Linked DNA regions of Coturnix japonica. The main gene of each other region encodes a partner of the protein of the gene in region 2 in a complex. Links are inferred from orthologs where the notes say so. Each region holds a gene or a part of one and is shown on either strand. Other genes may lie near its edges.

Region 1 (15,534 bases), on a different chromosome or scaffold from region 2:
TTGGTAGAGGGGTTCTCCCAAGGCAGTCACTAACCACTGTCAGGGGAATGGATTTTCTAAATGTGGATGGTTTATTGTAGGAGGATTTCAGTGCAGAGCCATTGCATTTTCTCCAGTGTCACAGTAAAGGAAACAGCCGCGAAGATTTTAAAACGCAGCTCTGGTCCTGTGTCTTCGAGCCATTGCTAGACGGTGCACCCAGGAAAGGTGAGCCCTTAAAGAGGTTTTCAGGATTCCCTGAACCAGCAGACCCCATGTGTTAGACACCAGCTTAATCAAGCTGTAATCTCTGTTGTCAGAAAGAGATTTGTGTATATACTTCGACTTATGAAAACAGGATTCTGGGAGAGCACCGGGCCGTGTGCAGTCTTCATATGTTATCCATGATCTTCTCACCTTCTCTTTTCATTTTCAGATCCCACTGTGAGTTGTTCCAGAACTGTGGCGACATGTGGAGGGGAGTCTGTCTGTCTGATCGACTGTGAAACAGGGGTGGTGCTGAAGAAGTATAAGGTGGCTACAGAGGTAGGTTGTAAATATGAACAATAAGTATTAAATGGAAATTCCAGATTCCTCTTTAATTCCATAATGTTGTAAACAATTCTGAAAGAAGGTTACAAGCATTACTGTGGACAGGTCTTAAAAGATGGGTAGTAAATATTTCTTGCTTGTCCTTCTAGCCTGGTTTGCTTTTGTTTTATCAGTTTTATGCCTCTCTCTTATTCAGAGAGGCATATGTGTGTGTATCCAAGCTGCTAAGAAAGCTTGACAGCATAGACAAATGAACATCCTGTTTGGTTAGATTTCATTCTTCTAAAGGTGTTCTGAAATGCAGTGCCTGTGCCTAAATAGTCATGTCAGTTCACCTGGATTGCTCCATGGCAGCTGTTATCTCTGAACTAACAGCCTTCCTGCTGTCTCTCTTTTATGTCCTAGGAGTTCTTCAGTGTTGCATGGACAACTCTCCCAATGGTGATCAGTGACAGTCGGAAGAAATCTCATAATATCTTGGCAGCTGCAGGAAGGAGAGGGATTGTCAAACTGATTCATGTGGCAGCTGACTTCTGCTACGGAGAAATAAAGGCTCATAAAAAGCCCATTGCAACTGTCTGCTTCAGCCCAACTCAAAAAACTCACCTCTTCAGTAAGTCTCTGGTTCAGAATCTCCTTAGCTTCAGTACCTCATCTGGAAGAGGTTGGGCTTCCTTCACAAGGGGATCCATCACCCTTGCTAGCAGGTGTGGGGAGCTGAGTGTTTACTGGGACCACACAAGCATGAGTTATAGACAGGCCTTACACAGAGAGCTCTTTTTGGGTGCCACCAAAGCAGTGCAAGTTGTTTCAGACAGTCTGACTCCTTAGCTGAGGTGCAGCAGCTCCAGTTTCTCACTCAGTAGCTCCCTGCTGTGCAGGCTCTCAGGCTGCCACAAACCAGCCACAAACAGTTCCAGCAGTGGATTCGTTCCACAGGGATGGGTAAGAAGAATGATAGGCAGAGCAGCCTGCTGGGGGCCAGGCAGCAGGCAGCCAGCTAGCAGGGCGCTCGTTAAGCATGGCAAGAGGGACAGTGCAGCATATCTTGGCCTGTTGGGTTTTGTTGTTCTAATGAGCAAAACAGTGCCCTTAATTGCTTTGAAATAAATGAAAATCTGTAGAGTTCTGTGCCTTGTCATAAATTTCTGTCCAGGTCTTGAGGTAGAAGTGAGCTGCAGTGGGCCCCACTGAGATTAAGGCGTAAGGAGTGGTGCGAAATGAACCATCGTGTTACAAATTGCAGCTGCATTGTCAGGTCTGTGAAGTAAGCTGTTACAGGGACATTCAGATCACACCTGCACCCCAAGGCACATTGTCCCTCTTGCCTCCAATTGCTCACATCCTGGAGCAGTTACACGAACCATTAAAGTGGAATGTCTTTAAAACAAGGGCAGCTGCAACGGGTGCTTTCCAAGAGTGTAAAAAGCAGAAACTTAGATTGGGAAGTTGTTACCACATCCTTGTATTGCTTAGTAGTGCAGGGCTCATGAGCTTGACAGTGTTGCTCAGGTGTGGACAGCAAGGCTTATTTTATTTAATACAAAAATCTCCTGTGTCACTATCTGCCTCTCTTCTGTGTCCTACAGCTGCATCCTATGACAAGCGAATTGTGCTGTGGGATATTGGAATTCCAGACTGTGACTACAATTTCAAAGCAAGGTAAAGGTACAAAAAAAATAGATGTGGCCAGTCTAAGAGCCTGTAACTATTGCTTTACAGCACCACTTCACTGTTCTCTTTTTAGCCAGCTGCTGGTACTGGAGTGTTTGTCTGTACCCTTACGGATTGCCCTCGTCCCCACATGCCCAGAGCAATACCTGCTGGCTGGCTGTGAAGAAGGCTGCTATGCATGGAATATAAAGCTGGAGAAGGAAGAGAAAAGCAGGTGAGAGCAAGAGTTGCTTTCTGTAACAACAGTAGTAGTCGTAGCTTCATTTCATGTGGAGGTCTGTGCCAGGAATGCAGCGTGGCTCACCAAATTGAAAGGGAGTAAAATAGCCGGCCCTGAAGCAAGCAGGCTTCTGGTGCATTGAAAAGTCCAGGTATCTGAATAATTGATTTCAAATAGGAAATTAATCTGCTTTATCTGGAAAGAGATTAACACATGGATTTCCATTCCTTGGGTTCTGCATCTAAGCCCATTTTCAGTGCTGCTCATTCAGGGCCTGAATTATTTCACTCTTCCTTCCCCAGACCTTTTGAAGCCTCATTCAAATTTCCTGATGAGGAGGGAGAAATGTCAGCGTCTCACAGGGTCGATGGTTTGGCTTTTCTGAATGATGATGTCGTAGGTGAGTATAAACGGGGTGGCCAGATCTGTAAGAAGTCAGGTACCTCGGTGTGGAAGGATAATGCAGAGGAAGTAAATGGGGTGTAACTGCATCTACTGTAGATTCTGGAGGGCTGCACTCAATGGAGTTTCCTTCTAGACTCACTGAGCTAAAAAGATGAGATATGGAGTCATGTCTGAGCAGAGCTGGAAAAAAAAGACAGACCCAACACAGCAGACTTTGCTTAGCAGTGCTGAAATGGAAGGGAAAGAATCCTTTGCTGTTGGAGGGCTGCTAAAAGCCCTTTGCAGAGGATTGGGTCCCACAATTTGGAGGCTCTGTAAGGCCTAGAGTGGGTCTTTCTGAACAGCTCTGCTTGTTGCAGTTTTGGAACATGTGTAGGACTGGGAATCCCCCTGAAATTTCCAATTATCCTGAATTAAGGTAAAAGAAGCTGAAGTAGTTGCTGCTGCTGTCAGATCCCATGTCTTGAAAGCCACTTTCTAGATGGACTGCCTTCCCCAGCTGTTCTGAAGCACTTCTCAGCACCTTTACATCATCTTCTGTTTTCTTCCCTAGTTTCCAAGAGCTCCAAACCAGGATGCATTTACTTATGGAGCTGGAGTTGTTCTTTTGACACGAAGAGGAAAGGAAGCCAGCGAACAGTGCCTGCAGTTATTCTAGCTGAACTGGAGTGGTCCACAACAGACTTGTCTTATCTCACACTCAGCACCTGCCCAGGTAGGCAGCACCCTTCTTCAGCACTCCCAAGTAACAAGGCTGCACCAGAGGCTGCCATACTGCTCAAGGTTTACTTGTTTACAGTTGCAAATGCCTCCCACTTGCTGGAGGAGCCTGTTGTTTAAAGCAGAGGAGTGGATTTAATGCCCAGGCTAAGAGAGCACAGCTGGCCTGCCACTGTGAGCAACAGGAATCCTTAACTTGCAGCACTGCAATCCCAGCACAGTGCAGCTAATGGGCACCTGCTGCATATAAATACTTGAGGCTGTTCCTTGGCTTTTAAAGGCAGAGGTGTTTTACCTCGCTGTGATACACCTGTCACAATGCAGTGTAAGGCTAATGAGGAGTAAAGAAACCTGATCTGAGCATTGCTTTTCAAATCTATGGAGTCCGAATGGGGGTTCCAGAGCTGGGTAGTTTAGTGGGGTGGGTTTTTCTTTGGTGCCAGAAAGATAATTCTGATGGAATGTAACATCCTCCATTGAGAGGGTAAAGCGCTGCCTGGAGCTCAGCTTTATAATAGAATGGACCCTCAGCTCCACTCTAATTTCCCTGCTTCTTCTTTTAATCTTACAGCAAAACTGCATGTGTTCTGCGGTGATGAGAAGGGAAGTGTGTGGATTTACCACCTCTCCGACTACACCACAGCATGGAGCTCTGCCAAGGGAAAACACTCAGACAAGAGAATCCCGCCCACACAGGTAGGTCTCATTTACCCTCTGTGTCAGAGCTGTGCTTCCCTTCCTCCCCAGGGCAGCTCTCTTGAGTTTCACACCAGAACATGCCTCGTATCTTCTCTACCTAACATTCACAGCCAATTAAAACCAATCTCCAGAGTGTGACCAAGGTCACTTCCAATCACACACACAATTATGACAGGGATTATGAGCTGCAAAGCAAATTTGTTCACTCCTGTGTGCTGCAGCTTGTCAACTTTTCCTTGGGTAAAGGCCTCTCTGTAAAAAATATGATTGTTTGACTATATATGGCCTGGCAACACAAGCTGTTCCTGCGCTGCTGTCTGGTGTGCAGCCACTGTTTCCCTGTCTGGATGAGTGGAGGTAACAGCAGCAGCTGCTCCTTGGTAGAACTGCATGTGGGGAAGGGGAAGCTTCTGGCCTGTGTTCCTGCTTCTCTTTTGCTCATTCTTTTCCTGAGCACACTCCTGCTGTGGGTCAGTAGTGTGCCCTAACAACTACACATTCACAAAGGCTGTGAGGCACGTGTGGTCTTAGCTCTAACTGTATCTGGTAGGGATGTGACCTCTTTGGACCCCACCCAGCTCCAGTTGTCAAACCAGGCTTTGCAATAATTGATATTGCCCAAGTTTCATGGACAATGATACCATTCCTTTCCTACACAAACTCTGTTCTCCCTGTAGATTCTCAAATGGCCGGAGCTTCAAGCAAATGGGGAACACCTGAGCGAAGTCTACATAAACAACGTGATAACAGACCCTACTTTCACTTACCTTGTTGCTCTCACTAGTGTGAACATTACAGCCATTTGGAAGAAGTCATAGTTCCTTGTTATAGAAGTTCATTCCCCGTGTTTTGAAATAGTGCAGTATTAGTGACTGTTACCCATATAACCATAAAGTTTTCTAGACCAGCTGTTACGTGCAAAAGGTAAAAGAGTTCGTTAAGCACATCCAGTCATCCAGGCTTTTTTCCTGTAAGTTTACACAATTTGTGCATTTGTTTTATAGAAATGACACTTAATAAAACAAAACAACAACTCTGCTGGCAGAATCTGAACTTCTTGGAATGGGAAACCAGGGCTGTGACCCGTTATTGCCACTCAGCATCTCCTCATTGCCATAAGGGCAGTGAGACTGAGCTACAGCATAGTGCACATAGTGACAGTGAGGCTCCAGTTAGAAAAGTGAAAACCATTTTAGTGAATTAAGCCATGAAATCAAACAAGACATGTCAGATACAAACATCCCCTCCCAATACTGCTGCCAAAGTCAGTAGGACTGGAAGGAAAGTAATTGGCATTGAATGAAGGTTTAAATAAAGCATTTCACTCAGACACATCGTTCTTCATCAGCAGTGTATCACACTAAGAGCAGGCTGATTTCACTCGATTCCTTCTTGTTTGTCTTTAATGGCAACCTGTAAAGAACAGAAACAGAACCGTCAGTGGATGGTTTAAACACTGATTTCATCAATTTCACATCAAACAACAACTGCATGAGTTCAGGGGAGACCTTATTGCTCTATAACTTCCTGAAGGGAGGTTGTAGTGAGCTGGGGGTTGGCCTCTTCTCTTGTGTTATCAGTGATAGAACTAGAGGGAATGGTTTTAAGCTGCGCCAGGGGAGATTCAGGCTGAACATTAGGAAGTTTTACTTTGCGGAAAGGGTAGTCAGGCATTGGAATGCACTGCCCAGAGAGGTGGTGGAGTCACCGACCATGGGAGTGTTCAAGAAAACGTCTGGATGTTGTGTTGTTGAGTATGATCTAGCCGGGAAGTATTGGGAATGGTTGGACTAGATGATCACAGAATGACCCGGGTTGGAAGGAACCTCAAGGATCATGTAGTTTCAACCCCCCTGCCTGGCAGGGCCACCAAACATACACATTTACTAGATCAGGTTGCCCAGGAGACCCCATAGATTCCCCATAGAGACCCCATAGATCAGGTTGCCCACGGCCCCGTCCAACCTGGCCTTGAACACCTCCAAGGACGGGGCATCCACAACCTCCCTGGGCAGCCTGTTCCAGGGCCTGACCACTCTCCTAGTGAAGAACTTCCCCCTGACATCCAACCTAAATCTTCCCTCTTTTAACTTCAAACCATTTCCCCGTGTCCTGCTATTGTCAGCCCTTTCCAAGAGTTTACTCCCCTCCTGGTTATAGGTTCCCTTCAGGTTCTGAAAGGCTGCAATGAGGTCACCCCGCAACCTTCTCTTCTCCAGGCTGCACAAACCCAACTCCCTCAGCCTGTCCTCATAGGGGAGGTGCTCCAGCCCCCTGATCATCTTCGAGATGGCAGCAGCTCTGGGCTGAGCCCTTCCCTTAGGTTCAAAGGATGGGCTTCTCGCAGTGCTCAGAACTGAGCTCACCCTGAATCTCTCCTCCAGCAGGGACAGCTCGCTGATCAGGTCGGTGATGGCGTTGGTGAAGGCCTCCTGGGGGCTGTAATCCGGGGTCGTTTGGACGCGGATGATGATTTTATGTTCCAGGGGGTGCGGGACCTTGTAACCTGCAAACAGCACCTGGGGGTCCTTCAGCAGCTGCCTGGGGGAGGAGGCAAAGCAGCAGCAAACAAACATACATTAATAGATGTAAGAGCTTTATAAGAGCCCCAGCACTTGTAAGCAGCGCCCAGCTCCCTCAGCTCACGACTTGATGATGTTTCCCAGCGTGTGATCCTCCTTGTTGATGGTGAACAAACAGGCGTTGGGCACCTTGGTGTCCTTGTTGATGGTGATCCTACACAGCACAGGGGGCGGCGATTCACTGCCACAGCCCGGGCGGACATGGGGGGAACCGGGGGGGCACGGGACGGTCCGGGCAGCCCCCAACCCCCCACCGGACCCCCCCCATCCTCCATCCCGCCCCCTACTCACTTTTTCTCCCCTTCGAACAGCAGGAACGACTCAAATGCTGGCGGCGCGTTCATCCCGCCGGCTCCGCACCGCTCCCCGCAGCGCACACAGCGTCACTTCCGCCCACAGCGCCCCCTGCCGTGCGGGCGGACCGTGCGCAGTGCGCTATAAAGGCACGGACACGGAGCGGGTGGAGCTGCGCATTTATTGCCACGCTGCGACCCCCCCCCCCCCCCCCCCCCCAGCCCCATCCCGGCACATCCCGGTCCGTCCGTCACGTCTGCGGCTCCGGCAGCTCCTGCAGGGGGGGCTGGGCCGGGGGCAGCCGGCGGTGACAGCGCTCCAGGTCCTGCAGCGCATCCAGGAGCCGGCGGAGCGCGGGGGTCAGCGGTGGGGCTGGGGGGGGGGGAGAGCGGGGCGGTGAGACCCCCCGGGAATGGGAGCAGCCCCAGAGCACAGCGCCTATGGGGGGGATGGGGAGCTGGGGGTCCTTTCTCTACCTTCTCCGTTCTGAGGGTCCCCCGGCTCCATGAGCTGCCGGCACTTCTCCCTGCGGATAAAGGGGCTGTTGGCCGCGGGGCAGGGGGCGCTTTGGGGGCTGCCCCCGGTTGTGGGTCCCACCTGAGGGGCTGCTGCAGCCCGTGCAGGTGCTGGAAGAGCCGCTGCGCCTCCACGTCGGGCTGCAGCGGGTCGGTCCAGTCCTGCAGGGTGATGCTGTGCCGGGTCCGGCCGCAGCCCGGTCCTATGGGACAGAACAGGGGCTGAAAATAGCGGGGACATCACCACCCCCACCCCCCACCCAGCAGCCCGTACCCGTCCTGTCCTTCTGGTGGCAGCAGCTCCATTTATCCCCCCTGAAGACCCCGGGGTGGTAGGAGCGCAGCAGCTGCGGGTTGTTGCCGCACACCTTCCTCAGCGCAGACAGCCACTGGTTCAGCTCATTGACACACTGCGGGTTAAACAGCGAGGTCACACAGTACCCCAATGGGAAACAGCCCCGTCCCCATCCCAGCCCACCTTGCACTGCAGATACGCCGTCTCCTGCTGCCCGGCCTCATCCACATAGACCACCTGCATGACGTGGCAGCTCCCAAAGCTTTTCTCCTCCACCTTCTCGGCCGCTCGGATGTTGGCCAAAGCGATGGAGCCGCATCTCTGCCATTGGGGACACAGCGCTCGGTGCCCTCCGTGCCACCATGGGATCCCACCACCCCACGTCCCCCTACCTCTGCCCCGGGGCTCTTGCTGAAGCTGAGTGCCTCGCTGGTGAGGCAGAAGTGCAGCTTCTTGGATGCAGAAGCAAGCAGCGGCCCTTTGCCCCGTGTCTTATGGACAAACAGCAGCCCCTCCTTCACCACGTTGCTGCGGGGGGCACAGGGCTGCTCCTCTCCACCCTCCTCCTCCTCCGTGCCCACCAGGCGGGTGATGAAGGCCCTCATCTGGGAGGCTCCGTGCTGCAGGGCGGGCTGCAGCGGGGCCAGCCATTCCTCCTTGGCTCTCCCTGCCGCTGGCTCCATGTTGCCCACCATCTGCACGGCCTGCAGACCACGGCATGGTGGAGTCGTTGCCCCCAGTGCCACCCCGCTGTGCCCATGTCCCAGCTCACCTTGGCCAGCAGCAGCAGCGTGCGGCTGGTACGTGCATCAGCGTGTGTCTCCCTCAGGTGGAAGAGTTTGGGGGTCATGATGGCGGGGGAGAAGAAGCGCAGGCACAAGAAGCTGGTGACAGCCACGAACTGAGTGTGCTGCAGCCACCGGGGGCAAGAGATGTGTGAGGGTCCATCCCCATGGCACCATCCCTCATGATGCTTCAGGGTTGGATGATCCTCACAGCCCACAGAATCACAGAATGACCCAGGTTGGAAGGGACCTCAAGGATCATGTAGTTCCAACCCCCTGCCTGGCAGGGCCACCAAACATACACCTTTACTAGATCAGGTTGCCCATGGTCCTGTCCAACTTGGCCTTGAACACCTCCAAGGACGGGGCATCCACAACCTCCCTGGGCAGCCTGTTCTAGGCCCTAACCACTCTCCTAGTAAAGAACTTCCCCCTAAGCCCACCCAGTTCCAACCCCCTGCCTTGGGCTGGTTGCCCCCCCACCAACTTAAGTCACCCATCATCAAGCCATTGGCCCCATTCCTCCATCCCCACTACTGGGTTTGGAGCTGACCTGATGCTGGGGGAAGCGCTCCCCGACACGCTGGAAGAGCTGCCGGAAAGCAGCACGGATGACAGGAGGGCAGGTAGGAGCCGATTTACTGATGGCATCTAAGAGCTCCCCGAGGTAGGACTGCAGGAGCTGGCGGCCCTGCTCCATCACCTCACTCTCTGTCTGCACCCGGTGCAGCCCCGAGCACCTGCGGGTGCACAGACCCCATCAGTCCCATGGACTCTGAGTACCCCCACCCACTGCAGCCCCTGTGCCCCTTACCCAACGTCCTTGATCTCCACCTTGCTGGGGTCCAGCTCCACGTATTTCTTCTCCTCAAACACCCTGGAGATGGTGGGTCCCAGCACCGCATGCAGGTACTGCATCCCTGTCACCTGCCCAGGGGACCACAGCACCCAACCTTAGGGGGTTTTCTCCAGCTCTTGGCCCCAGAGGCAGACACAGCTCCCCATGTCCTTCCCTTAGGACAGCATGGAGCTGTGGTGAGCTGGAAGGAGCAGGGTTTGGGGTGAAGCTTCCTGCGGACAAGGGGGATTTAGGGGCAACAGCACCTTGAGGAAAGACTCCATTGACTTTGAGGCCAGGGAGTTGCTCCGGAACAAAGTGTTGGGTTCACCTGAGAAACAGGAGGAAGCCAGTGGAGCAGCCCCAGGTACCCACCAGGCATTTCTACCCTACCCTGGAGTTACAGGGATTCTCCAACCAAACACCTGCCCATTCCTCCACCAACTACAGCCAATGATGATGATGAACCCAACGTGTTCCCAACCAGAGCACACCAGAAGTTTTACAGCTCCAAATGAAGGTAAGGAAGACGCAGCCCTGCTCCCAACTCAGGCTTACAGGGCTTGGCCAGCTCCAGCTCAAAGAGCAGGTCCAGAAACTCCTTCACCAGCCCTTGGCCCAAGAAGAGCTTCACCAGGTTGATGGCCACATCCTGCCGGCACTCGGCCGTGGTGGTTTCATCAAGGAGGGTGACCAGGTGAACCCCACCGGCCTGCAGGGACACAGGACATGGTGGCACAGTGGTAATGACTGTGACCGCGTCCCATTGGGGCTCTGCAGTGCCTCACCTGGTGCCCTGCCTTCACCTCCTGGCACAGCAGCTGGACCAGGGGCTGGTAGCAGTGAGAGGGCAGCACGGTCTCATCCCGCAGCCTCACCTGCAGCTGCAGTGAGCCCAGGCTGCCCCGGCGCCTGTAGGAACATGGAGAGCAGATCCAGACCATGCACCCCACTGCACATCCCTCCGGAACACCCCAAACACTCACCTGTCCTCCCTGGGTTTGGTTGTGTCCGGCTGCAGCCTGAACCAGCCCTCCTGGTGCCCGGCTGCCTGCAGCCCCTGCACACTGACCACCACCTGGGGGAGGGTGGGACGGGCTCACATCCCACCCCAGTAATGGGGCCATACAGGGTGTTTCTGAGGGCTCACCTTGCCCAAGAAGTCATTCTTGCTGACCAGGTCCCAGTCCCACACCTCTACACACAGCTTCTCCGCAGGGGGGTTGGGCAGCTCAAACTCAAAGGCTTCATTCCAGCGAGGATAGCAGGATTTCTTCACCACCTACAAAGGAGATGGCTCTGGCCCCATGGCACACACATCCCACCCCCATGGGGACATCAGGGGATACGCTGAGTTGAGCTCACTGTGCTCTCCTGTGTTTTGCCATTGTAGCTCACACAGACAAAGGGGTCGGACGCACCGTTCCTGTCCTTCTTGGCCAAATCCCTGTGGAGGAGAGGGTGAAATCCCACCAGGCCCCACCAGAGCCATCACCCCATGACTGGGACGTCCCCATCCCCAACATCACCTGGCCTCCAGCACGGTGCATCGCAGCCGCTGCCCGCCCTCCAGGAGCTCCACACGGAGGTGGATTTCCCCCTGCACCTCCTCATCAGGGTCCACCTCGTTGAGGCTCACCCAGCCGCTGTATCCTATGGGACCAGTGGGCACCATGGGCATAGGGTGTGGGGACACGGCTGGGTGTAGGGCTGGGGACACCCCGCTGCCCCCTACCTCTGGGGTGCTCTGCCAGCATGGAGCGGGTGATGCACACCTTCCCAATGACATCGTCACGGCTGCAAGACACAACAGGGAGGTGGCACGGAGGGTGGCCGGGCAGTTTGGATGTCCCAAAGCCTCCAACTGCACAGCCAGGTGTGGATTCTCTGCTGTCTGCTATGGAGTTGAGCATTGCCAGCCCAACCCTGCATTGTCCCCAGAGTGCTCTGCCTGTACCTGAGCGCATCCTCATCCATGACGTAGATAGAGATGCTGTGGAAGGTGGGATGGAGCTGCACCTCATACTCCTCCCCCCAGAACGGGGACAGTGTCTTCCACACCGTGGCAGTCCTGTGGGACAGATGGAGCCAGCGACATCCCAGCATCAGATGAGCAGGGCTGGTGCACAGCACCCACACTGGGGTGGTTTATGGGTTGGCACTGGGGTCCATGTCTCAAGCTTTGGGACCCAGATGGGAGTGGGCAGCAGGGCTCACCTGATGATGGCCTCATTGTCAATCTTCACAATGCAGTACGGGTCGCTGCTCCCCGTGCTGGAAGGCAATGGCATGACCCCATTAGCACTGTAGTGACCCCGACTTCCAGGCCCTGATCACAGCATCCTGCTGGCAGCTCCTCATCCAGATCGGAAAGGGAACAAACAAATCCCACCCTTTCCCCAAAGCAGGAGCTCCAGGAGCCAACACAGCCCCCTTGTAAGGTTGAATGATATGAAGATGGTAACAAAGATGATGGCAAATATTCAAAAGGTTATTTGTAAAGGAAATCTCACCCATATGGATGCCTTCACTGGGAAATACTGAAGCAATCTCCACCAGGGAGCAATCCCCAAGAGATGCTGCCTTAGTGGTGCTCAGCCCTTAAATGGGGTCTAGAGGAGGTGGAGTCGAGCTCCACCCCTTCCAGGAGCACAGCTCCATTACTCTCACCTGTGCTCCCACATCTGACCCCACACTTGCCTCAGCTGATTAATCAGAGGTTCAGGCTGTGATTACCAATTTCTCATACACCCTCCAGCCCCCAAATGGACCCAGAATCCAGATCTCTCTGTAGGGACGGGACCAACCCTGGGGACACTGCGGTGACACGGACCCCTGGTCACAGCGATGCTCAGTGAGCTGCCAACAGCTCAGCTCACCATTGCTGCGAGCTGCTGCCAAAACAACAGCACTTTATGGCCAGCTCAGTTCCTGAGGACGGTGACTCACTGCGGCCGGAGGCGGCGGAGCTGGCGGAACCAAACTATGAGGGCGAAGGGCTTTGGGTTCTCAATGTGGGGCTGGCAGCTCCCTGTAATGCTGGAGCCCAGAGCTGCAGGGGGAGCACAGGGGACAGGAGGGGTCGGGGAGGAGACACATGGTTGGGATGGTGGGTTTGCAGCAACAAGCAGCAGGTTGGGGAAAGCAAAATGAACAAGGAGAAGCTGAGAGCTGCCGCTGTCACCTCCCATGGAGCTGCATCCCGAGGTGTCCCCACGCAGGGCAGCCCCGTGTCACGCTGGTTGCTAAGAGCAGGGGCAGGTTGGGCACGAACACGGCGGATGAAGCATCATTAACCCCGCTGTATTGCTGACATTTCCTGCCTTGTGCAAACCATTTGAGCACACACACAACGATGCCACCTGCCCCGCACACAAAGCAGGGGATGCTCTTTGTCTTCCTGCGCTGAGGATGCAGGAGCAGCACAGCGATGTGCCATAGGGCAGAGCGTTATTCCGCCTCTTTATGGGCAGTTGTGTTGGGGTCCTGGTGCCAAAGAGGCGCCGGGCAGGGGCTCGTAGGAGGGAGGGGGAAGCACAGAGCGGCAGGAGGGGAGCTGAGCATGGAAACAGCGTGAAACGCGTTGATATCACAGCGCTGCCATGAGATAGAACGATGGGGCTGCGGTGTCAGCGTGCCCGGGGACACACCGTGCTGCGGGTGGGCGGCTGCGGGCGGACTGTGATCCATCAGCAGCGCTGTGACATCTCGGATTTCTATGGGGAAATCACAGCGATCCCAATGGAGAAGGGACGGGGGGGGGTCATAAATCCCGGGGATGGAGCTGTGCCCGTGGCACCATCCCAAGCCACGTTCTGCCCTCCCAAAGGCACAGCCCTCAAACCCCCCCCCGCTCCGGCTCAAGGTCCCCGCAGGGCTTCGTGCCAAGGGACTGAAAAACACGAGCCCTGACACACGGGGCTTAAAAAAACCAGAAGCTGCGCTTCTTCCCTTGTTTATCCTCTTTTTCCATGACGGCTGCGGGGTTTTTTGCTGCTTTTCCAGCCGCCCGCAGTGCGCTCCGAGGTGGCTCCCCATGGATGGGTCCCCCCCTGTGCTGTCCCCATCCCACCCGGCGCTGTTCTCAAATCCTGCCCCATAGAGATGGGAGCGGTGAGGATAATGCTGGGACACACAAACAGCTTGAAATCCCCACCCGATGGGGACAGCAGCCCCTGCAGCAGGTGCTGGAAGAGGGACAGAGACACGGAGCCACCCCAGGGGGATCCCAAAGCTTTACATGGGGATCCCAAAGCATTGCAGGGGGATCCCAAAGCACTGCAGGGGGGGGATCCCAAAGCACTGCAGGGGGGGGATCCCAAAGCACTGCAGGGGGGGGATCCCAAAGCACTGCAGGGGGGGATCCCAAAGCATTGCAGGGGGGGATCCCAAAGCATTGCAGGGGGATCCCAAAGCATTGCAGGGGGGGGGTCCCAAAGCATTGCAGGGGGGGGGTCCCAAAGCATTGCAGGGGGGGGGTCCCAAAGCATTCCGAGCTGCTGGGATTCAGCTGGAAGGAAACCTCCCAGAACTGCTGGGAGGATCACATCCAATCCTGGGGGAGATCCTAAAGGAAGGGCTGCCCCAATGCCGTGCAGGGGGAGATCCCAAAGCACTGGGAGGAGACATGCTGAAACCATCCCAAAGAGCTGCAAGGGGTGACCCCAAACCCACCCTATAGGGATCCCCAAAGCACTGGATGGGAGGGATACCCCCAAAGCTGTGCTGGGGGCTGGATCAAAGCAGTGTATAGAGGCAAGATGCCACCCCCCATCCCCGGCAGCACTCACATGTCCTTGGCCGGCAGGTTCCTGCCCTCCACGATGCGGATGGACAGCACGCAGCGCCGGGACATGCGGGCGGACGGACGGACGGACACACGGACAGAGCGGGCGGCGGAGCGCGGACTCGAACCCGCGACCACAGAGCACCGAGCCCATGTGCGGACCGGCACGGAGGGCGACCAATCAGCGAGCGGCTCTGGGTAAATGGGCGGGGCTTAAGGAAACGGGCGTGGTCTTATATATAATATGGGCGGGGTCTGGGGCTGGATGGGAACTACAGGGACCCCCATGGTTATAAGCCCCCATATGGGGCGGAGGGACGAGCTGCGACCCACACAGCGCTGTGCAGGCACCATGTCTGCTCACAGAGTGATATAACACCACAAAGCCCCGTGTACCTACAGACAACCCTGTGCCATCCGGGGCTATGCACAGGGGTCACCATAGGGACATCATGGAGGCACCATAGGGACATCACAAGGACACCATAGGGAAGGTCATGATGGGGACATCATAGGGACATCGTGGAGACGCTGTGAGGACACCATGGGACACAATAGGGACACAATAGGGACACAATAGGGACACAATAGGGCACCATAGGGACACCATAGGGACACTATAGGGACACCATAGGGACACCATAGGGACACCATAGGGACACTATAGGGACACCATAGGGACACTATAGGGACACCATAGGGACACCATGGGGCACCCGGGGGTCACCATGGGGACTCAGCAGCACCTCCAGCCCCTACATGATGCACAGTGTGAGCTGAGCCCTCCCCCAGTACAGCCCAGAGACAGAGGCAGACACACAGCACACATGGATCTGTTTATGTCCCAGTGCATCGCTGGGGGCAGTAACATGGCAATGCAGTAACATGGCAATGCAGTAACATGGCGATGCAGTAACATGGTGATGTAGTGACATGGTGATGCAGTAACACGGTGGCACAGTGACATGGTGTCCCTCCTCAGAGCCGTGCAGCTGGCTGGTCGTACACGTGGTGGGTGTTGTAGCGTCGGATGGAAGCTGCATCTGGCCTGAAGCTGCCCACACCACACGCCTCGGAGCTGGGGGAGGACACAGCATTGGGGACACGACGTGCTGCTGTCACCCATCGCCACCCCCTTGTGCCCTATGGACTCACCTGCACAGCGTGGCCAGGAGGGCGGCCAGCAGCAC
Region 2 (14,585 bases):
ATTGACCTGACAGCACAGCTGTCAAAGCTTTCTTACAAAAGGTGCTTTATCTACTATGTTGCAACTGAAGGCACTTAATTGTGCTTTCATATCTTGATCTCAGCCCTCTATATCTTGTCTTTGCTTTATTAATGCATTTATTGATGGTGTCCACTTTGGTTGCATTTTGTTGCTTGTTATTTTGCTGCTCTCTGATTCATTGATCTCTTTGTAGAACAGGATCTGGGTCTGTTATTCTTAAAATAGAACTGATTTGGGGTCCTTTTTTTTTGCATTTGTTTTAAAGGCTTTAGGGGACCAAATTCTCTTTGTTACCCGCCCTGATAAGAGGCAACTTCTTTACTACAATGACAAGAGCTGTCATTTCTCTGTGGACGATGGTAAGTGTTTATTTACATCTGCATCCATGGTTTAAATTCAGCTTAGACAGCTGAATGTGAAGATAACAGGACTAGCAAACGAGTTCAGGGATAATAACCTCTGTTTTCTACTGAATGCATTGGTACATGGCACCAGGAACCCTACAATTCAAGTGTAGCTGAACAGAAAAGACTAAGAGTTGTCCATCTGTGGCTTAGATGACATCGAATATTTTGCTGCAGAAAAGCAGATGAAGAACAGTGGAATTTCTTTTGGGTTTGTGTGCTGCTTTTTGTCCCAATTTATTAGTCATGTACTTTTGTTGGTGAATGCAATGAGGAACCAGGAATTGAAGAAAAGGAACAAGCAGACTGGGAGGAGATGTGAGCAAAAGTACTGGGAAGAGTTGGTTTACGACTGGGAGGGCACCCTGAGTGTGGGCTGGTGCTGCTGTCTAGAGCTGGGAGTGGAACTCCAGAGCTTCAGCCTGTATTTTTTATCTTACAAATAGTGGTAAAGTCCTCTGACGTGAGTGTGCCTGTTGGCTGAAAGCAGCAAGAGGACAGGTTATACAATAATATATGTATTTACAGAAATTAGTTACGCCTGTCAGGGTGTGTTGCAATGATGACATCAGAGCCAATATCAGATATCTGTAAGTACAGAAGGGAGAATGCATTCCCTGGTAACAGACCTTATTTTAAATGGCTCAGGGACGCTGAATACTTCATGTTGATCACTTGTTGTTCCGTAACATGCCACATGAAGCCATATTCCAAAGCGTCACATGATAGTAAAAGAAGGAAAAAGTTGTCATCAGACCTTAAACAGCTGTATGTGCAAGGCCATAGAACAAAACGTAAAGCTCTTTTGTCTTAGAATAACTCAGAGGAACTCTTTATTTTAAACAGAATCAAGCAGCTTCTTTGTTCCATACCAGCCTTGGATTCTCATTTACTTAATAGCTTATTTCTGCAAAGATAATTTAGGAGATGTCACCTACAGCATTTAAAAGTATAAAGATAGTTTCAAAATATTATTTTAAACTGTAATTTCTTGGTTCTTTATAGTGGGAGTCTTAACAGTATATGAAATGAGGGATCGTAAGCCTCAATCGGCCTTTATTGGGGAGTTTGTATCTTCCCAAATGCCTACAAGTTTACCATTCATACTGTCAGTCTGTTCAGATTGTGTTTCTTGCGTCCATTGGCTCATGGCTTTCAGGATTCCTCACTTTGCCAGAACCTTTAAAAATCAGCTCTATTGCAGGCAAAGCTTTAAGTTTTTTAGCAGCTACTGGTTATATTACACTCCCAATTGCTGATCATTTCTTTTCCAGATAATTGGCACCCAGCTATTCTAAAAGAGTTAGCAGGATCTCTATTCTATTGCTTTCAGCTTATGGTAACTCCTGGATCTACTGGGAAATTGAATCAAAGGGTCCATTTTATTGAGAAGTTCAAAAGAATTCTACCAGGTCTGTTGAGGTGCCAGTACAGATCTGAGGCTGTTCGTATACAGTCTTCAGGTATTCTAGCACATGCGGCACTGATCAGTGCAGACCTTTGCTATAAAGTAAGGGAAAATGTTTTGTTGAAAAAAACCAAACCAAACAAAACACAAAAACACCAACAGAAAACATAAAATGTGTAAGCCGGTTGGCTCAGCCTCCCACTGGGAAAGGCCTGCAAGCCCCTACTGTCTGTGATGAAGGGACCACTAACTAGCATGCAGTGTGTTTGTAGTTCAAGATGGCCTTGCTTGCTTTCATCCGCAGGTGGCAGCATGTTCCCATCTGAGCAGAAAAGGATTCTTTTTGTTGTTCTTTTGTGCTGTTTTTGACTTGTCTTTGTCATGCAGAAGATGATGCTTTGTTCTGAGAGAGGAGGAAGAAAAATCTCTCTTAACACAATTTGTGATCTGCCTGCATATGCCACAACTCTTTCAACATTCCTGAGTGGGCTCACTTTGCTGTTGCAGCTGGGATGGGTCCTTTTTCCAACCATGTTATCCTGAGATGAGAAAAAACCCATCCTTCCTGAGCAGTCTTGCTTTGAGATTGTTTCCAGAGCCCTGGAAGCACGTCTCTTAGGGAGTCCTTGGCAGAATTGTCTCCGTACAGGATAAGCTATGACACGTTCCTGCGTTAGCAGTGCTATTTCAGCTCATTATCTCCAGCAACATTAAAACTAAGTTTTTTAGAAGGCTGCAAATAAGCCTTGAAGTGTTGTCAGACTCTTTGATCTAACAACTGATGATAGTTCAAAATATGTTTCTAGTTTAATGCTTATCCTTAGAAGTAAGGGCTCTGCACTCCAGTACGTGGTTTTGCTCCATGACACTCTCCAGTTTTGAGCATATGTTGGCTGGGGTTATTGTCCTCCATGGTTGCTCTCCCCTTGCTGTCTGAGCACCATCACCACTCAGTAGAGAAAGAGGAGCGTGAGGCAGTTTGGAGGTTGCTGCCTAAAGCAGTGGGACGAACTGGCAGTGCCTGCCTCTGCCCTGACCGCAGTTGTTTTGGTGGCTGAACAAGCTTTTCTTTCTCCCCTCTTGAAAACAAACCCCAGTGTACTTCAGAGGCAGTGCAGTACCTATATCGTGATCTCCAGGATACTGGGGAAGGTATGTGTAGTGAGGAACGGCTTTTGTTCTTCCTCTTATGTGATTAGCCAAAGAGGGTTCAGATTGCATGTGTTCCTTCTTCACTTCCTGACTAATTAATCTTCTGTCAGTAATGTGTAGCTGAAAGGGTTTATAAAAGCCGGGCTAGATTTCAGGTGCTTCAGCCAAGGCAAGCACTGCCTTTTTGTGCTGGGGCTAAGCACTTTGCATGTGAAGCAAGCTTTCACTGAGGGCCTGAATGCTGAAAGGCCACTCCAGTTGCTTCGCTGGTAGAGATGATGTTTTTCACCTCTGAAGGAAATGTAGGAAATACCGTAGTGCCCAGAAATGTGGATATTTGATTATACGTATGTTTAATATTCTTCCTAAGCACCTTTGAAGAGATTTTAAAGAATGGGCGAAGCCTATTAAATTTCACAGTATAAAAATTGCTCAGGATCAGTTGATGATTTATAGTTCTGGCCTTGAATTACAAGATGGTCCAGGCACAGCACTAAGTTAAAATCGGGTACCTTGTTTTTTCCTGGTATAAATGCAGAACTGTTACAGAGCAGGATTTCACCTTCCCTACTGCTCTTAATTTCTTTCCTTCTGCCCTCTCCGCAGAAGTGTTGTTGTCCATGCTTGTCCTGTACTCAGGTTTTAGCTCAGCTCAGTGAAGACTCTTAAGCTGTTTTTAATCTCTGACAGATTTTATTACCAGTATGATACAGAAGTTTATCTCCAGATCCATCTCAACCTTTTTGCAAGAGCGGGCAAGACAATCAGAGCTGCAGGGTAAGCTGCAGGAAGCCACCGTGCAGCCACTTACCCATGACACTGTTTCCCAAATGTAAGCATTTATGGAAGGAGAATGCGTTGGATTATAATAGCTCAGGGAACAGTGGCGAAAATTGCTTTTGTCTATGAGGCACCCCAGGCAGTAAAGCTGCAGAAACATCCTTACCCCTCAGGTATTTCACAGAGGAAGGCCATTTACAGAACTTCTGTTGTGCTGCCCTCTGTTCTGCTATGTGTACTTTTCCTGCTGGTCCAGGTTCATTGTTTTAAGTCTGTGCGTGCAGGCACCTTGATGTTAGGGATGCTAGCAAATACTGAAGTAGCCTTTCAGTCAGCCCCATTCCCTCCTTCACTATCTGGAGAAGCAGGGGAGCAGCCCCTGAGTTGTGCTAGTTCAGCCAAGCCTCTGGGTTGAAATATTTTAGTGATCAAATTGCAAGATACCGCGTACAGCAGGATTTGTTCACTCAGGGTGCTGCAACTGCAGCTCCCTGCCTGTTTTGGCAAAGACCTGCATTGCCATCAGATCTCCCTATGGTTTCACAGCCCCAGTGTTGCTTTGGTCAGAAACTCTTTGGAAATTTCTTTCCAGGGGATTTTTTCTCAGCTCTGTATTGTCATAGCAGCTGAAGTGACAGGAGTTGGCAGCTTGTCTGAGTACAGCCTGCTGTGGTCAGGTGCAGCCTTCCTTCTTGACTGCTGAACGGCCCTTGCTTTCCATAGTTGTTACTTGTCCTGGTTTAGCTATAAAATAGTTTTCTGACTCTGAATGAAGAGTCTACCACCCTCACCATGCTCTGCTGGCATAAAGATTGCCCAGCAGTTGACGGGACATAGGGAGGGAAAATAGAAAGTACTTTGGGATTGCCGCGGTTTTATGTGTAGCAGGAAGGCATGCATCTGAACCTGTTCTCTGTGCCTGGCTGGAGCAGGCTGGTGTGCAGTGAGCTTTCTGCTTCAGCAGTCCCCTTCCTGCTCTCCACACCAGGTTTCTGCAGGCCAGTTCCTTGTCACTGGCCCCTCTCGTTAACTACTACAAGTGGTGACTCTCTTTTTTGTGAGGAGTCGCAACAAAGGCCGGGGTGATGGTGATTCAGTTTCTTCTCAAAGTAGCTGGAGAAATCACATCCTGTCATGGATTAAGGGTATGGATTTTAGGCCTGGAGGGGCAGAAATGTGGATGGCTATTTCTTGGGAGTGGTGGTTATTGCCAGCTTTTCACATAGGCTCTCATGTTTCAGAGAGGATGTCACAGTAGTTCACAGTGTATTCCCAAGGTCTAAACTTTCACTAGCTGATAGGGGCATAGTCCTTGGTGACTGAATAAATCTGACAGGTAATATGGAAATGGTTCACTGCCAGCCAGCCAGCTGCTCTCTTTCTTCATTTCCTGCATTTAGTTCAGTATCTGGTGTGACACGGAATTGGTTTTGTGATGAGATGATAGATGTACTTCTTGGCTCTTTAGATGGAACCCTGAATACAAACCACAATTATGCACGACCATGTGAATGTGTCCTCACCTTTATGCTGTTCTTCCTGTTCTGAGCCAACCCTTTAACACAGAATATTGCCAGGGGACAGTTTTATTGTGATTTTCCACTTTCCCGGGCACTAAGGTATTTTAGTCCCGGCTGTGGGACTTCACCACGGAAGCTCTTCTGCAATTACTGCAGTCAGAGCTACAGTGCTTAGAGCTGCCTGATTGGTGGAGGAGTATTTGAAAAGAATGGCTGAGTACTGTGCAGTGATTCTGATAGGGCCAATTAATGAATTAAACTGTCTGTACTTAAAGCCCATTTTAGCATTGTGATGTTATTGGTTCTTGGTGACTGTTAAGTTTATATTTCTTGACCAAGATTAAAAGGTGAATGTGAAGCTGTAATGATGGTATAATCACTGCATTACAAGAAATGCAAAATGCTGTGGTTAGATATTAACTGTAGCCTGCACTTCTGTTGTTGTTCATCCTTCAAGAGCTGACCATTTATTTTCTAGCGTTTAATTTTTCACTTCTGTTCTCCAGAAGAATGTAAGCTAGTTAACCTTAAGTACCTATCCTCTGCTTGGTTTTTTTGTCTTTGGGTGTTGTTTTTTTGCATCAAAGCATAGTTTTCCATGTATCGTGCACTCTAGTAAGGAGACAGGTCACTTGTGTTTGCAGCACAACATGGTAGGAAGAAGACCACTGTTTTGTAAAAGTTCAGAGCGACCAATTCTCTTGATACCATCACCCAGTGTGCACGTGCCTGTCACATACATCTGAAGAGAACTGCCTGCATCTCTCACAGGGCTTGTCTGCGCAGAGCTAAAGGCAGCAGAGCACAGCGTGGCCTGAAAGCATCTCTGCCTAGAATCTGTTTAATATTTATGTGTTTACATGCACTCTTCTCACTTCATGCATGAATTGCAGAAACACATGGTTGGGAATATGGTTTCTTGCAGAAGTGTGATACTGAATTTGCACAGCCATCGTGTTATCCTTATTTCCAGCCACCAGCGGGTCTGAGTGTCCTGCTGAGTCCCACTTGGATGCTCAGGACAGGGAGAAAGAGCTTGAAGGAGTGTGCCCTGCTCAGCCCGAGGGATGCACTAGGACCCTTGCTCAGGCTGCAGCCTTTAAGACTGACATCTGAGTGCTTATTGCTTAGAAGTGTCCTCTGTGTGTTTGGCTTTGATCTTAACACAGCCCTGTCCACCTGCTGCAACAGGATGAGGTGAGAGATGATCTGTGAGAGCAGGTACCGCAAGATACCCCAAAAGCCAGGAATCACACCAAAAATGGCTGAGTGGACAGAGAATGTTTTGACTTCGGTGTCACTCCTTGCATTAAGTTATCTGAAATTTGCTGTCTGAATGATTCTGTTGTGCTGCACAGCCTGAACACGAGCAGTGGGCTGAGCACTATCTGCTTGTAACCAAAAGTGGTGCTCTGACGGGGCTTAGTTCTAAAAAGCACTGCGTTACCAAAAATGAACATTTGCTGCTCTTCCCTGGCAGAATTCCTTTCTTTTGTTTCCGGAGAAGCTCGAACAGCCCCTTTCTGTTGGCAATGGGAAGAAGGAGCTGAGACTTAAGGCATGCCCATTCTGAGAAAAACAAGATGCATTAGGAAGGGAACAGCCCAAGTGCAGGGTGGAATTCTGCTCTTTACAGCTCTATACAGGACCATTTAGTTGCAGTGTGCCCAGAGCTGGTGTGTTTGTGGCAGATTGTCACTGGAGTGTTTCATCGCCTGCTGCATAGGACAACTTCTTACGCATGCAGAAGTTGTGGTTGTTTTGACAACTGTATACAAAATTTATCTGGAAATAAAGGGGAAAATTTAGTCTTGCGTTGCTATGTGCGCCTTGTGTTTTATTTATAGATTGTTAGCCAAACCTGCTGACAGGATATATCTAACTGACTGCCTGGGGAATGAAGGGAGGTAGAACTGTACCAGCCGCTGCCGGGAGAAGGCATTCCAGAGGCTCTGTGAAACTTTACATGAGGCAGAAAGTGCTCAGGCAGATGGCAGCTGCTCTAATTAAGACTTACTGTCTCTGCTTTTTTTCCTGCTGCTGTGGTTTTTAAGGTATCTCTCTTCTTTTTAACATCAGAAGAATTCTAGTAATTTATTATCCATACGGCATGGTATGTATTAGATTACAGCGATAAACGAGCTTGCAACTGCTGAAGTTAAATGTCTTCAATCTTCAGTAAATTGGACTAAGAGATGGCAAGTCTCCCATGACAATGGCAGTGGAAGATGTGTAAATGAAGTTGCCATTTATGGTTAGTTATTACCTTTCACCAGGATCATTTGAACTGAGGCTTATAAAACACACTAACAGTCTGCTCTGCCACGGGGGTGCTAGGCAGAAGGATGAATGCTGCAGAAAATTACCATTAAACAGACACATTTTGTCTGTGGGTGCCCCTGAAGCTGGGATGCTGGGGTACGCCTAATGCAGATGTGAATCAGCTCATCTTTTTCCATGAAGCACTGGGAGCTTTTGTTGGTGGTGGGTTTTGGAAGTGCATCCAACTTTAAGAGTGGGTAAAGGCTGTGCTAATTGGGTGCCTGCTGGCAGCAAAAACTGCATTGCAGGCTGCTGTATCAGAGTACTTCAGTGTCAGAACTCAGATCTGTTTCTTCTTTCCTTTCGTGCAAGGGCTTTGCCTATGGTTTGGTTTGTTCACTGAGTTGTGAAACAAGGGTTTGTTTCGTGTTTCAGAGTTTCGGAAGCTGTGGAGGAGCATTCCCATGGATTCTATAGATGAGGACAAAGTTGAAGAGTACCTGAAACGACAGGGTATTTCTTCCATGCGAGAAGCTGGACCGAGGAGAATAGTAAGAAATACAAATTGCAGATCTTTCTGAAAAATTCCCCCCCTTGCTGACCCTCCTTGCTGATGTTAATTCCTGCGCCTATGCACAGCTGCTTTATGTAGCTCAAGGAAGTGCAACCAATTTTAAGAAGCTTCAAAAAAACAATGCTGAAGCCAGCAGCCAGTGTTTTTGTAACTCGTTTCAGCCAGCGTAATCCCAGCAACATCAAGAAGAGGGCAAATGCCAAAAATCCCTGAGAACTCCAAAGTAGAAGCTTCTCCTTAAAGCTGTACAGTACGTTAGGAGCAAAACAATAGCAGCTCTTTTGGGAGAAGATTTTCTCTTCCCTTTTTCTTTTCTGCTGAACAGCCTTGAAAACGCTGATAGGAATTGTGTAACCCGCCTCCCACCACTCTTGGGCTGTTCCCCAGACAGAGTGCAATGTGCTCATGCTTTACTGGTGGGCCAGAATGGCAACAAGATCTCCAAAGATGCTTTCTTCCTGGCTTAGAACAAGTTTGCTGTTTTTTCTTTTTACATTTACTGATACATGGTTTACCATCTCTTTTCTCTTCTGCTCCTGGCTTCAGACTGGCCCTTCACAAAGCCCTTCCACACAGGATCTGTTCTTGGTTTCTGCCATTGCTACAGTGGATGTTATAATATGTGCTGTAATGTGGGCACTTCTCTTGTGTTCCGCTTATTCTCTATGTGTCTTTGAGCACATCATTGTAGCTATGGGCTGTCTGCCTTCTTCGGTAGCTCTCTGGGAGTGTTCAGAAATCCCACTTTCAAACAAATGCCAGCTCTCCTACAGTGCACAAGATACCAGGAGGCTCTGCCGCATCCCCAGTGCCAATTCCCCGCCAAGATATGAATTCAGTGCAGTTGCTTCCTGCATAAAGACAGTTCGCCTCCTGCCTACTCCTTCTTTGCACACAGCTCCCCTTTGCAGTGAGGTTAATGCTGCAGGTAGCACAGTGTGTCCCACCTCAGGTCGGATGCTGCAGCTGGAAGGCAGATCTTTTAACTGCCATTTATTTCTTCCTTTAGGCTCCTGCTCAGAGGAAGAAACCCACTTCTCAGAAGAAACGTCGATTTAAGACTCACAATGACCATTTGGCTGGAGTCTTGAAAGATTACTCTGATGTCACTTCTGGCCAACAGTGACTGGCTGAATTTTGAAGCAAACAGACGTTTTTCCACAGGCTTTTTGCCACTCAGGCTCAGCGACTGCTTGCAGGAAGACTGACTCTGTACAGTAATGTGATGTGTTTCCCTCATCCCAGTGGCTGACAAGATGGAGCAGATCTGTTTAAAAGCAAGTTTGGACTACTAAATTTAGAGATTAATTTAATTAGCTAATTGGAAATGTGTCTTCAAATAAAAGGTTCGCTCAAATTGCCTCTTGGCATAGAGTGATAAATGGTGCTCAACATGAAATACAGGAGTTCCTGTTCACTGCTTAACTCTGCTTTTACATTGCTTAATGGGTGTTTACCTGGAATTACTTCAGAGGAGCTTTCGTAGAATTGAATACAGCATTGTTGTACCTATTTCAGGGAAACCTATTCCTAAAATCACTGCAGGCGAGTTTCTTTTACAGTCAAATATGCCCACAGTTTGTGTGTTCCTGCCTTGCTATGGAGTTGAACTTTACCAAACTGATGGTACCTGAGGTTCTGACTTGGAACAAACCCTCTCCAGAGCTCCAGGCAGGCTGCAGGGGGGCACTGCAGCTGCTGCTTCTCGATGCTCATCAGAAATTGCTCTCAGCTGTTTCTCCTCACTGCAGCAGATGCAGCTCTGTTGCACAGGCGATTTCTCCTCACTGTAGTGAATGTACCTGTGTTGCACAGTCCTACTGTTGGGTAGGGGAAATAAATTGACAGTGTAATACTGCAACTTTTTTCTTTTTTTTTCTTTTTTAAGTTAATAAACTTACAGTGCTTGTTTCCAGTGTTTCTTCCTTAAAGAACATGAGAGCGTGTACTTGTGTTTTCCTTTTCAAAGAGGTAAAGGAGTCTTTGGTGTGTTTTAATCTTCTCAATGACTTATTGTTCTGGGCTAACCCTGTCATCTCTCATCATTCTTGTTTGGAGGAGGGAGAAAACCACCTTAAATGAAAGCTCGCTGTAGATGCCTCATGTCGGTTGCAGTACAGACTGCCTAACATGGAGTGTAGCCAAATTATGTCTTCTTGATAACTTATTTTTATGTACTGAACCAAAGTCAGTCAATGCTGATATTGTTTTCACAGTGCTGCTGCAGAGGGGCTGTTCCTCAGCTCTTCTGGGGTTAGGATCAAAGATGAAACAGATGAGTGTGATACCTGCCAACAGTTTGCCGCTGCCTGCGCATGAGCTGCTGTCTTGCCTAATGTATCAGGATTGGAGCAGAGGCCGCTGGATCTGGGCACACCAACAGATGAAGAATAAGGCTTTGTTGGTGGAGTGCTGAACAGATTACGTCTGCTTGGGAAAGCGCAGGAGGAAAAATAAACTTCTGTAAGTGTAGCATTTATCCTTCTGTATAGTACACAAGCTTTTTAGAGTGTGCTCTTTTGTGAAACAGGCACTTTGAACATGGTACATGTCAGTCCTGTGTAAAGAGATGCTCAACACCAGTAGGAGGTTCCTTTTATATTTATATGTGTATATATAAAAAGCAGGCAGCATGCTGGTTTTGAAACCTGTTCTTTCCCTTTTCTTCCAGGTTAGCACAAGTGATTCATCTTGGAGCTTTTTACTTTTCCATTACAGCTCTGCTTTAAAGCACCCATGGCACACCTGCAAAACTGTTCTTTTCTGTCATCTTTGTTCAATGACAAAGATTCCCTTCTGCCTGCTGCATTTTTTTGAGCCGTGCTTTTCCTAGTGGTGTTGCTTGGACAAAAGCAGAGCTCTTGGTGAGCTGTGAGTTGCTTTTCATGCCTTAATGGAGTACCTTCCCAGTCATCTTGCACAGCCTGGCCCTGTGCTGTGGGCTGAAGCTTGCAAGGCAGGCTGTGATGCAGTTACCTGTGCAGTTTCTCCGCTGAAGTGATTAAGAGGGAGACTAAAGATGTCTCTGGCTACTTTCAAAGATGAAAATTGTATTAAGTCAAGAAATAAGAGAGCAGGAAAGGAAGATTAGCTTGGTGTGCTGTGGTGCCGTTGTCAGGCTCCAGTGTTCAAAGGAATAGAATGGTCCAGTAGATACCAAGTTAGGAAGAGTGGACCAGTTGCTTTCTCTTTGGTGGAAGTCTCTGCTGAACTAACAGGGAGGGCAGAATAAGCTTTGAAACTTGTTAGGGTAGAGTCACAAAGTTTGAGAATAGCTGACAGGATGCCTACACTAGCCCCTGAGAGGTAGCACAGATAAACAGTCATGAAGAAAATACAAGTCCAGAAAATAAGAAAGAGCTCCTCTCTTCTGTGTGGATTTGAAGAGATGAGTTCTATTTCTGTATCAGAGATGCTCCCAGCTGTCAGTCCTGTGTTTTTGGGTTGTTTTTGTTCCTCCTCCACTCCCCAAGTACCTCTTTAAAATCAAATAGTATATCTTGAAAATGTCTCAGACAGTGCCAACACGAGTCTGTTTGCTGAAAATATTTAGCAGCACTCCCATCCACTCACTCACCTCACAGCATAATGTCCAAGTCAGTTTTTTTGGTGAAGTTTAATGTAAGAGATAACAGCTGTTAAAACCTTAAGCCTATTTTATCTTCTTCCACAGTGTTCCCATTTATATTCTCCATGCAGGGTGCTGGCCCAGCTGCTACATCACCTTGTCCAGATTAGCCAGACGCAGAGGGGTGTTCAGCTCCCCCTCTGTGATGCTGATGGACATATGGACAGGACCCCGGGGAAGAGACAGCTTTCTCTCAGTGTCAGAAGCTCTCAGGTATGTCAGCGCTGCCCACGTCATCCCTTTGCTTGCCTCACTGAATCTTTAGCCTGTAGCTGCAAGGAAGCTGTGGGGAGGAGGCGTTTTGCCCTCGTAGTGGATAGCTGTGAGCTGAAGTGGGTCAAGAGAGGTGTGAGCTGAGCCCATCACTGCACTCAAGTGAGCATCCAGGCCGGGCACTGCTGGGTATGTGCCTGCTCCTCCCCATCATCAGAACAAAAGCCCTGTATCTTGAAACCAGTGCAGGTGAAATAGCCGCAGGGAGTCGCAGCTCTGAGCGTGGAGGTCTCTTGGCTTGTCTCCTAAAAGTTGCTCTGGGGAGGAGCTGTTCCTCCTCCCGTTACAATGATCATTCTGGAAGGGGATGGAAAACAGCAGGATTTAGCATGGTTGAATGAGAAAACTGACATAAGACAGTTTGTACAAGAACTTATCTATAATTCATCATGATCATACCAGGCTTTTAGAGAGCAGGGCAGGGAGGGGCAGGGAGTCCTGCTGCGCAGCGTAAAGCCCCCACACGTGGATGCGGCTGGCCTGCGCTGTCACTTCGATGAGCATGGGCAGGCAGTGCTAGGCCACTGGGGATGGCTGGGCCCCGCTGCCTGTGGGTGAGGAGGGGCTGCAAGCTGCAGAGAACTAGAAGAAGTCTTGGTACTGACATCTTATTATTTCCAGCTTCGTTGCTTGCTTTCCGGTCGCTGCTTATGTACCAGGCTGGAATTCCTTAGTGTGTTACTGCTTCAGGGACTGCTGGCAGCTACTTTTCTGGGAAATCATATCTGGTAGGACTGAGGGTGTACCCACCACCAACTGAGGGTCTGATGGCTGCTGGGGAGAGCTCAGCCCTTGGTAGGCTAGACCTGAGACCCTTTTCTGATTGCTCATTTCACTCAGTGCCGCCCAGCTTGCAGTAGAAGCAGGTCTTGCTGCAGCTTGCTGGCCCCATCTCTGCTGCTTTGGGGTGCCGGCACATGCTGCAGGCCTGTCAGACAGCTATGACCTTGAGAACTTCATTTGGGACCCACGTGGTGTAGACTGTCAGCCTTGTGGACTGCGTGTTGTGCAGAGCAGGGGAAAGGATGGGAGGGCAGGAGGTTTTGTTGAGTTAATTTTTTGACTGTACCTGCCTTTCTGGGCTTACATCCAAGGCCTTGAAGTACTTGTGTGACTTCCTCCCGTCTCCCGTGGTTATGTTGCATTCTCCATTCCCTCCTGAGCTAGTTATTAATTATGGAGGCTGAGGAGACAAAGTCCAGACTCTGCTAATAGTTGACTTACCCATATTGTAGAGGCAGCATTTCAGTAAGCTGCTAATGGTCCCTCTCAGCTCTAAACCCCTCCACCACTTTGGTCTCTGGCCTATGGGTGGCACTGAGCTTGAGTGTTGAAGGCCAGCCTCAGGTCTTTTAGGCCTGCTGTGCCTCCCTGCTAGCTTCCCTCCCAGCCTGCCTCACCAGCAACTGTGTGGCCATCTCTTGGCCCCATCCTGCTGCCTAAACCCCGGTACTGTCCCCTCTTTCCTCTCCTGGACCTGTTTTTCCTTCACACGACTCCAGCAGAGCCCTGTGGGAGCACTGCCACCTGGCCTCGGGGCAACCCTGTCTGCCCTTTGCTCCCTCCCCCCCAGTACTCAGTGCTGAGTGGTTTGGGGAGCCAGCAGCGGGGCTTTCCCCCTGCCCTGGGGAGCAAGGGCACAGGAAGGGGCTGCTCTCATTCCCTCTACCTGGCTCAGCCTTGACCATTGGGGCTGGAGAGGGAAGGCCTTGGGAAAGTGGCAACGTTGAGAGTGCCTCTCCCCATCTCGTTTTCTCTAGCTTTGCCTGTGCATACCCATGGGATTGGCCGTGGCACTGGGTGCCAGCTTTGGCCTGGAGCTTCCCAGCACTGTTTTGCAATGCTATCGGCAGGGCCTTCCTGTAGGCGTCCAGCTGTCCCAGGGGGAGTGCAGCCCCGGCCTGCATGGGGAAAGGTCAACGCAGGCAGAGGGGATGCCGGGCCTGGGCAGGCAGCCACTGCTCCCAGCCCTCATCAGCGAGGGGAAGGCCAGCCAGCACAGCACTGAAAATATTTTAGCATAGAGGAAACAAAAGAAGGGGCTCAGGATGTTAAATGTTTTCAGCTTCTTTTTGCAGGGCAGCTCTTGCCATGAGCTCCCTCAGCCTGAAGCCACTTGCTGCTGTGCTGCTTCCCAGCGCGCTGTGCCTCGTGCTGAAAGGGCCAAGGGTACAGTGTGGGCCGGTTCCCACTGCTCTGAGCCAGGCAAGATGTGCTGCTCAGAGCGAAAGCTGTGACCTGCAGTGGCCGTGGGTGGATTAGCATCCAGCACTGAGGCCTTAACCCGTGGCTCATCTCTGCCAGCTGTGCGTGCTGAGTGACACCGTGCCTCTTGCCTGCCCCAAGCAGCGAGCTGCATGTGCTCACGTCCTTCAGATGCGCTTGTGAGACCGAGCTTACTGCTGGTACCATGCTGCACGAGCCTGGCTGCTGCTGGGGCTCCTCGGGGGACCGCCCACAGTTATTGGGATGGGATTGATGGAGGAGGAATTCAGAGCTTGGGCTGATGGGATGGTTTTTGAAAATTCTCAGTGCGTTAAATAATAATAATCTGGCCCATCGT

Evidence for each region.
Region 1: GTF2E2 (region 2) and DNA-directed RNA polymerase II subunit RPB11-a share a complex: the UniProt entries of both Homo sapiens proteins name them as parts of the TBP-based Pol II pre-initiation complex. The link is inferred for Coturnix japonica from reciprocal best matches to the Homo sapiens genes GTF2E2 and POLR2J.

Annotation. Positions count from the first base shown.
Region 1 is NC_029534.1:3,075,059-3,090,592, forward strand, and holds DNA-directed RNA polymerase II subunit RPB11-a, read right to left. Parts: upstream 7,255-15,534; 5' UTR 7,176-7,254; coding exon 7,123-7,175; intron 6,986-7,122; coding exon 6,896-6,985; intron 6,791-6,895; coding exon 6,616-6,790; intron 5,663-6,615; coding exon 5,627-5,662; 3' UTR 5,284-5,626; downstream 1-5,283. Other genes in the region: LRWD1 (leucine-rich repeat and WD repeat-containing protein 1), read left to right, coding at 81-207, 416-525, 937-1,144, 2,121-2,193, 2,279-2,419, 2,728-2,825, 3,384-3,545, 4,122-4,246 and 1 more; ras GTPase-activating protein 4-like, read right to left, coding at 7,376-7,497, 7,602-7,651, 7,723-7,843, 7,915-8,050, 8,119-8,256, 8,328-8,639, 8,708-8,845, 9,274-9,460 and 12 more; UPK3BL2 (uroplakin-3b-like protein 2), read right to left, coding at 15,323-15,422, 15,500-15,534. UniProt on the Homo sapiens protein: Core component of RNA polymerase II (Pol II), a DNA-dependent RNA polymerase which synthesizes mRNA precursors and many functional non-coding RNAs using the four ribonucleoside triphosphates as substrates.
Region 2 is NC_029519.1:30,647,074-30,661,658, forward strand, and holds the end of GTF2E2 (transcription initiation factor IIE subunit beta), read left to right. Parts: intron 1-286; coding exon 287-380; intron 381-7,982; coding exon 7,983-8,098; intron 8,099-9,130; coding exon 9,131-9,247; 3' UTR 9,248-10,055; downstream 10,056-14,585. UniProt on the Homo sapiens protein: Recruits TFIIH to the initiation complex and stimulates the RNA polymerase II C-terminal domain kinase and DNA-dependent ATPase activities of TFIIH. Both TFIIH and TFIIE are required for promoter clearance by RNA polymerase.